Linked DNA regions of Oryctolagus cuniculus. The protein of the gene in region 1 purifies or fractionates together with the protein of each later gene. This does not show direct contact. Links are inferred from orthologs where the notes say so. Each region holds a gene or a part of one and is shown on either strand. Other genes may lie near its edges.

What was found. The genes of interacting proteins can lie anywhere in the genome.
Region 2: the proteins of ARHGAP12 (region 1) and ASAP1 purify together in Homo sapiens (co-immunoprecipitation; 3 studies listed by BioGRID and IntAct, with this or other methods). This does not show direct contact. The link is inferred for Oryctolagus cuniculus from reciprocal best matches to the Homo sapiens genes ARHGAP12 and ASAP1.

The regions. Positions count from the first base shown.
Region 1 is NC_091444.1:102,358,560-102,362,075, forward strand, and holds part of ARHGAP12 (rho GTPase-activating protein 12), read right to left. Parts: intron 2,502-3,516; 5' UTR 2,423-2,501; coding exon 1,751-2,422; intron 1-1,750. UniProt on the Homo sapiens protein: GTPase activator for the Rho-type GTPases by converting them to an inactive GDP-bound state.
Region 2 is NC_091437.1:156,098,501-156,102,584, forward strand, and holds the start of ASAP1 (arf-GAP with SH3 domain, ANK repeat and PH domain-containing protein 1), read right to left. Parts: upstream 2,814-4,084; 5' UTR 2,675-2,813; intron 1-2,674. UniProt on the Homo sapiens protein: Possesses phosphatidylinositol 4,5-bisphosphate-dependent GTPase-activating protein activity for ARF1 (ADP ribosylation factor 1) and ARF5 and a lesser activity towards ARF6.

The DNA of each region.
Region 1 (3,516 bases):
CCAAGGCCAAAGGCGCTCCCACGCCACAGCTTCTATTCTGACGGTGAGGCAGAAGGCAGGGCTATCTGCTAGGAGCAGGGTAAAACACGTGAAAAAAGGAAACAGCCCGGGTTTCACGCAGTTGCCCTGCAGAGCTGGAAACGGGGCTGGCTTGGGAAATCCAGGAGGACTTCCTGCAAGAGTGTTAAGGCCCCAGGAGAGGTCAGGAGCCATGAACCTCCAGTGCCATGGACGTGAGATGGCAAGCAGGAAGAGGGTACGGAACAGCTGGCGTATGTCACTAACATAACGTCAAGTAGGAAGCGGTGGTGATGGCTGGAAGGAACAGAAGACACGTGTGCTTCCAAGGCCCGTCAGGTGCACAAGGAGCCAGCAAGCACCACGTACTCCGCGTCTGAGCATCACACAGACTGAAGACAGGCCTGGGAAGACGACGAGGACGAAACTGACGGTGCGACTCTGCGGAGCCGCCCTGGTCACAAGCAAACACCAGAAGTTTCTCTAGACAATCTCCCCTTTTCCCTATTTCCATCCCCAAGTGTTACAAATTACAGCCCACGGAAAGAATGTACTTGCACGGCATTCAGACCACACCTACGACCAGCCTCACGGTTATTCACGGCCTTAACCTGATGAGGAATCTGACAACAGAGTCTGAGGCCAAAAGTCACTAATTATTAAACTCACTTAAAATGGGACATTTCCAAATATGTCCAAGTTTGGATTTCACACTTTTTTTTTTTTTTTTTTGACAGGTAGAGTTATAGAGAGAGAGATAGACAGAGAGAAAGGTCTTCCTTCCATTGGTTCACCCCCCTAAATGGCTGCTATGGTCAGCACTGCACTGATCCGAAGCCAGGAGCCGGGTGCTTCCTCCTGGTCTCCCATGTGGGTGCAGGACCCAAGCACTTGGGCCATCCTCCACTGCCTTCCTGGGCCACAGCAGAGAGCTGGACTGGAAGAGGAGCAACCGGGACAGAATCCGGTGCCCCAACCGGGACTAGAACTTGGGGTGCCGGCACTGCAGGCGGAGGATTAACCAAGTGAGCCCCGGCACCAGCCCCCCACACGATTTTTTTTAAAATGACTTCCCATCACTTGAGAAATAAACTGGCATAGATCTAATCTCAAAAGAAAGTTGCATAATGAAAAAAATCATATAAAAAAATGACGGATGCAAGATTGTTTCTGGGCTAATAATTCAATGCCATCAATTCTGAATAATGACACTTCAGACACAAAAGCACATGAATGAAGATAAAGGGGCATGAGCTATTTTTTTTTTTTTTTTTGGCACTCAAGGTTAATAAACAAGTTCCACAGAACAAATGTCAACAGTCTGGTGACGTCTTTCCTCATCTACATACTATCACCCAGCAACTACTGCAAGCAAGTCCGGAAGAGTACTGCCAGACACAGTAAAGCCTTTCCCAGTGAAAGAAAAGCCATCGCTGTATAAAGCAGTCCTTTCTGCTTCATGCGCAGTCTACATACAGAAAAGCCGTCCACACTGATCTACAGTGCGCCAGCTCTGCAGGGGTGCGAGAAGAATCGCAAAAGCCACAAGGTGGCCTCTAGGAGCTCCACAAGTTACGTCACCTATTGTCTAGCTCTAAATCAGGATAAGGCCCACGTGTCCTGAAAATCCCGAGCAACACGCAAGTCTTAAGGCCTACAAAGACCTTAATTACGAGAAGAATCCATGACTTTTATTAAGGAGGCGCGGGGCTGCATCTCGGTTTCCGCTTACCCTGATCTGCTCAGTGGAGCTGCTGCTCAGCTCGTCCCCGGACTCCGAGTCCTGGTGGACCTTTTCCGAGCCTTCTCCCGCAGAATCACACGACTGCTCCTGGGAGAAGCTCGTTTTCTCCACGTCCAGGAACTCCGGGCCGGGAAAGTGACCGAATAAGCGTGTCCTGTTCTGGCTGGGCACTTTAGGAGAGTGAGAGTCATGGGTGAACTTCCCGTTATTGTGGGTCAGGTCCAGGCTGAGGTTGAGGGTCTGACCTGCATTGTAACTGGGTCCGAAATTCTGATTGGCATCACGGACGAGACCGGTTCCTTGAACGGACGCCGGCTTTCCGAAGCTCGAGAGCTCGGGCAGCTTGTTCACATTTTCTGTCGACCTCTGCAGGGGCAGACTCTGTATCATCTTTACGGAATTGCTGGGCAGTCCCACCGGCGGCTTAACGGGCGGCATCAGAGCTTTTCGCGTGACCTCCTTCACGTACTGGGCTGGCACGTAGAAGGCTTTGGAGCTCTCATCCGGCTTGACCTGCCACCAGTCGTCGTTGGTCTTTTTCACCAACATGTACCGCTCGCCCTGCTTGATCACGATCTTCCTGTCCTTCGCTTCATACTCATAGTCATATTCCACTTCGATATACACTTGTCCTGGAACCAGCTTCCCCCTGTCAGCCATGTTGACTCAGTGGGGTTCACCTCTCAGACAGGATGATGTGCCACATTCTGGCTTTATTCGGCTCGCTGCACGGACGTAGCTATTTTGTTTAAGGAAAGGAAGAGAATGCACAAAAAAGTAAATATAATCTGGATTTGATATTTACTCACAAACAGCATACAGCTCAGGTTTTTTCTTCAAATCTCAAACTTCTAAAAGTACACGTGTGTCTGTCTAGCAGTGTATTAAAACACTGTCACTCTGGGGCCAGTGCTGTGGTGCAGCAGGTTAACGCCCTGGCCTGAACTGCCAGCATCCCATATGGGCGCTGGTTCTAGTCCTGGCTGCTTCTGTTCCCATCCAGCTCTCTGCTGTGGCCTGGGAAAGCAGTAGAAGATGGCCCATGTCCTTGGGCCCCTGCACCTGCGTGGGAGACCAGGAAGAGGCTTCTGACTCCTGGCTTCGGATCAGCACAGCTCTGGCCGTTACAGCCATCTGGGGAGTGAACCAGCAGATGAAAGACCTCTCTCTCTCTGTCTCTACCTCTCTCTGTAACTCTTTCAAATAAATTAAAAAAAAAAAAAAAAAAAAAAAAAACTAAAAAACCACTTTGACTCCAACTAAGCTACACTGTTCAGTAACTTAGGACTGGAGCACACACTAAGTAGTCAGACGCAACTATCAGATGTGAGAGTTGAGAAGAACGTAACTTTTCATGATGACATCACACTTTCCTTCACTTTCCCAGAAAAGCTCACGGATGATAATAAGTAGTGAGCGCCTTCCAAGAGCCAGGTGCTGAGCTCTTAGCTCCAATACGCACCAGGGAGGAGTCTTTATGAAGTTAGACCTACACAGTGATGCCACATTAGTATTTTACTCTTTATTTTCCAAAGGATCATGAAAATTATTACGGAGCTTAAAAATATTTTTAATTACCCAATTATACAAGTTAATTTCCTAATTTAAGAACAGCATTAAGCCGGCGCCGTGGCTCAATAGGCTAATCCTCCACCTTGCGGCGCCGGCACACCGGGTTCTAGTCCCGGTTGGGGCGCCGGATTCTGTCCCGGTTGCCCCTCTTCCAGGCCAGCTCTCTGCTATGGCCAGGGAGT
Region 2 (4,084 bases), on another chromosome or scaffold:
GTTGTTCATCATTGTCTCATCAGGACGCACAAGGGGGGCTTCCCAGGGAGCAGGTGCTCAATACATGCTTGCTGAATTGATTATTAAAATTGTGAGGCTGACACTGAAAGATGACGCTGGAATGAGAAAGCCTTGGAAACACCATGCTCTTCCTCTCTGACTGACCGGTGCCTCCTCCAGGGAGACAGACACTTAGCAAATGTTTACTGGACACAAGGAAGAGTGACTCAATTCCAGATAAATCTGAAAAGTGCAGTCTTTTCTGGACACGCCTCTCAAAGGGGTTCCTCTCCTCCAAGGGACTTCTTTAAGAGCCTAGGGCAAGGAAGGGCCAGCGCTACATTATAGCAGATAAAACTGCTGCCTGTGGCACTGGCATCCCACATGGGCGACAGTTCAAGTCTCAGCTGCTCCTCTTCCAATCCAGCTCCCCGCTAACGGGCCTGGGAAAGCAGCGGGAGATGGCCCAAATGCTTGGGTACCTGCAACCACAAAGCAAACCAGGAAGAAGCTCCTGGCCCCTGAATTCTGCCTGGCCCAGCCTCAGCCATTGCAGCTACCTGAGAAGTGAACCAGCGGATGGAAACTCAATCTCTCAATCTCTCAATCAATCTCTCTCTCTCTCTCTCTCTCTCTCTGCCTTTCAAATAAATAAATATATGTATTTCTTAAAAAGAGTCTAGGGCATCCAGCAATTACTCAACAAATGCCAGCTGTTACTGTCACTATTGCCTGTGTGGAGATTATTCATTCATTCTTGAGCCCATGCCAGATATAGTGGACAGGAGAGAAGTGAGGTCCAGAAACAAGGAGGGATGGGGTGGGTAGGATCCGCTCAAACACGAGGGATGAGTCGATAGGGACGATGCTGGAGCAGCTGCCCCAGCGAACACGAGTTCCCTTCTTCCACACAGGACTTGATCTGAATGCACACATCCATCCTTGGTCTGCAAGGCTCACAGCAATTGTGAAAATCTGGCTCAGTGCGGCTTGTAAGGACTGGAGAGGTGGAGTGAATTTCAATTTCTTTCACCAAATGGCAAGCTTGCAAAAAAAAAAAAAAAAAAGTCCTTTCTCTCAACATGATCACCTACTAAAAACAAAAACCCAGCCATCAGCGCTCTCGTGAGAAGAAAAATAGATGGATGGCTTAGCTCACAAGAAAGAGGAGTGCTGGAAATGAACCCCAGAGAACATCATAGGGTACGCTACGTGCTACGACACCGCCCTTATTGTGGACTTGAGAGCTTTCAATTTTCCACAAAAGAATGGGATGGAGAAAGGTAACTTCCCATGTAATAAGCCACCCATTTGTATTTCAGGTCCATCTGGAGGTTGAACAGTAAGCGTTGGGCAATTTTTTAACCCTCCTCCTCAAATACGAATTTTGAGATAACGGAACGTCTCACAAACAGCAGGGACAGGTAAGAGAGAACAGAAGGCGCCACACAGGTGAGGGCGGCAAGGCACGCACCTCTGTTCAATCCTGCCCATGGCTGCAGACCTTAATGCGATGCAGGCACAGGGTTCGGTTCCAAGACTCAGAAACCAGTCCTGGCCTTGCCACCCACTAGCCATTGACCGTGGCCATAGGCAACTCAGGTCGGCTCCCTGGCCCTCATCTGTGGAACAACAAGAAGCTGACACGGTTGTTCTCAAGGTTCAGACTGTTGCATGGACGTCCCCAGACTGGACGTAACGCCTGCCACCCAGCAGCCCTCAAATCGCCAAGCGTGAACGCCTCGGGGCGAGGTGTATGTCCAACAGACATACAGCCGGCCTAAACGTGGTTTTACAATCCCGGTCCTGTGGTCATCCCAGAATCAACTGTGCCTAGACAACCCCGCTGGGCAGACCTGGTGGGGGAGGGTGCGCCAAGGGAGAGGGAGTCGGGGTTCCCCTGACAGGGACAGCCAAGGCTGAGGTCAAGTTAACGCCGGCCAGCAGTGGCCCACGGGGCCCGCTGCATGACTGGAGAAACCGCTTAGGGCGTGCGGGAGAAGCCGCCGGACGCCCGCGAGTTTCTTTCTTTTAAACTTCTTGTTGCTTTCAGCAAAAGCAGCAGGTCCCCCAAGTGATCCAAGCGGAACACACCACCCTGTACTTCCCGCGAGGAGACGCCGAGCCCCACGGGGGAAATTTCCCCTCACTTTTCCCTTCGTTTCCTTTCTCTGGTTTGGAGCAAGTGGCCTAGGGCCTGCGTGGCAGCGCCGTGTCCGGGCGGGGAACTTTCCCGACCACGCCAGAGAGACAATGCCGCGGCCAAGCGCCCGCGCCTCCGCGCCGGAGGGCGCCCCCACGGCGGGGTCCCCGGCGCCAGGCGCGCTGCCCCGGCCTCCCTCGAGGAAGGGGGCGCCCAGCCACCCAGGGCGGCCCCCGCCCCCATCGCGGCGCCTCTGCAGAGCCGGGGCTCCCGCGCGCGCAGCCCAGGCCCCCTCTCCCGAGCCGGGGACGCGGAGCCCCTGGGCGGCCTCGGCGGCCCTGCAGAGCGCGGCCGTGCGCACAGCACACTGCCCTCCTCCCCGCTCCGACCCCGCCAGAGCGGGACGCCTCTCCGGGAAAGGACCCGCCAGCCCACCCGGCGCCCCGGCCCGGCCCCGCCGAGCGCGGGGTCAAGCGACCGCGGGCCAGCCCGCCCGGCCCCGCCAAGCCCGCCCGGGTGCCCGCAACTCACCGGGACCGGGCGGGCGGCTGGGCATTATTCCATCGCGGGCTCGGCGCCGGCTCCCCAGCGGCGGCGCACACGCCCGCGCCCCGGCAGCCCTCGGCCGGGCGTTCGCGGCTCTCGGGTCGGAACCGGGCTGCGGCCGGCGGACAGCCGGCGGGGCGGGAGGCGCGGGCCGGGCTGCCCGAGCGCAGAGTGGCCGCCCGCGGCGGCGGCGAGGCGAGGCGAGGCGCGGGAGCCGAGCGCGGCGCAGGAAGGGGCGGGCGACCATGTGCAAGGGGGAGGAGGCGGCGGCGCGAGCGGCTCGCACGATCCCGCTCGGCGGCGGAGGGCGCGGGTTTCAGGAAATCCAAACACTTCGACAGGAAATCGGAATCCTGACTAAGCATTCCCGGCCCGGGCCGCTCCGCGCCGGGGGCTCCCGCCTCACTTAACCCTTGGCCCGCCGGCACGCAGGCACCGGGGCGCAGTGGCCGCAGCGGCTGGGGACGCGCGGGGTCTCCGGCTCCCCTGCGGCGGCGGGCGTCCTGCCCCCGGGTCCCCTCTCCCCCGCTGGCTTCCCTGCGCCTCGCCGGGCGGTGGAAGGGGTGGGATTTATCCCCGGAAAACCTTGGCCTTGGGAGGTGCCTGTCCAAGGCCGGAACAGCGCCAGAGGACCTCAGCCTCACTCCGGTGCTGTGAGGTTTGCTCCCCAGTTTTGATCAAAGAAATGACTTCGCCTCGCTTTGTCCCTGCAGTTTTCTTCATGTTGCCCGGTGCACAAGTAGTGGTAGTGTGGACAGCATCGTGAGGGCTGGGGTCCCTGATCCGGGATGCAGATGGCTCTACCTTTTTTCTTCCCCCTGTGGTAACCTTGAGTCACTTCTCCGAGCCTCAATGTCCTCAAATAAGACAGAGGTTCGATTTGGAAACCAAGTGTTTAGCCATGCTATTCTTGCTATTGCCGTGCAGCGACTCGAGAGAAAAGAGGACTTTAACTTGTGGGGTGTGCCCCGGGCTTATCTGTGCCAACTTACAGAGCCAGAGGCAGCCAGCGGTGTTTCCTCCTAACGATTGGGTGATTATTCTTCTTTGCAGCATTTCGGCAACTGCTCTCTGCAGAGGAAAAGGTTAGTAGCTGGGGCCGGACCCCCTTCTGGTGAAATCTGAAACTCCCGCAAATGTGGGCGTTTGCCCTGAACCTGGGAGTCAGGACGTGGGGCTGGGGCAGGGGGTGTTTGAAAATCACGCTGGGTTTCAGAAGCTTGGGGAAAAGCAGTCAACCTCTGCACAGACAGACTGGATGGCCCGTGCGAGTGAATCACTGTGGTTTCCCACGGAAATGCCACATTTTGGGGGTGCTTTACCTGGGGATGCGGCTTGGTGGTTTGGCTCTAAGTGTTTCAGATTCCTCCGAAACCCAGTCAGACTTTGAAGAGG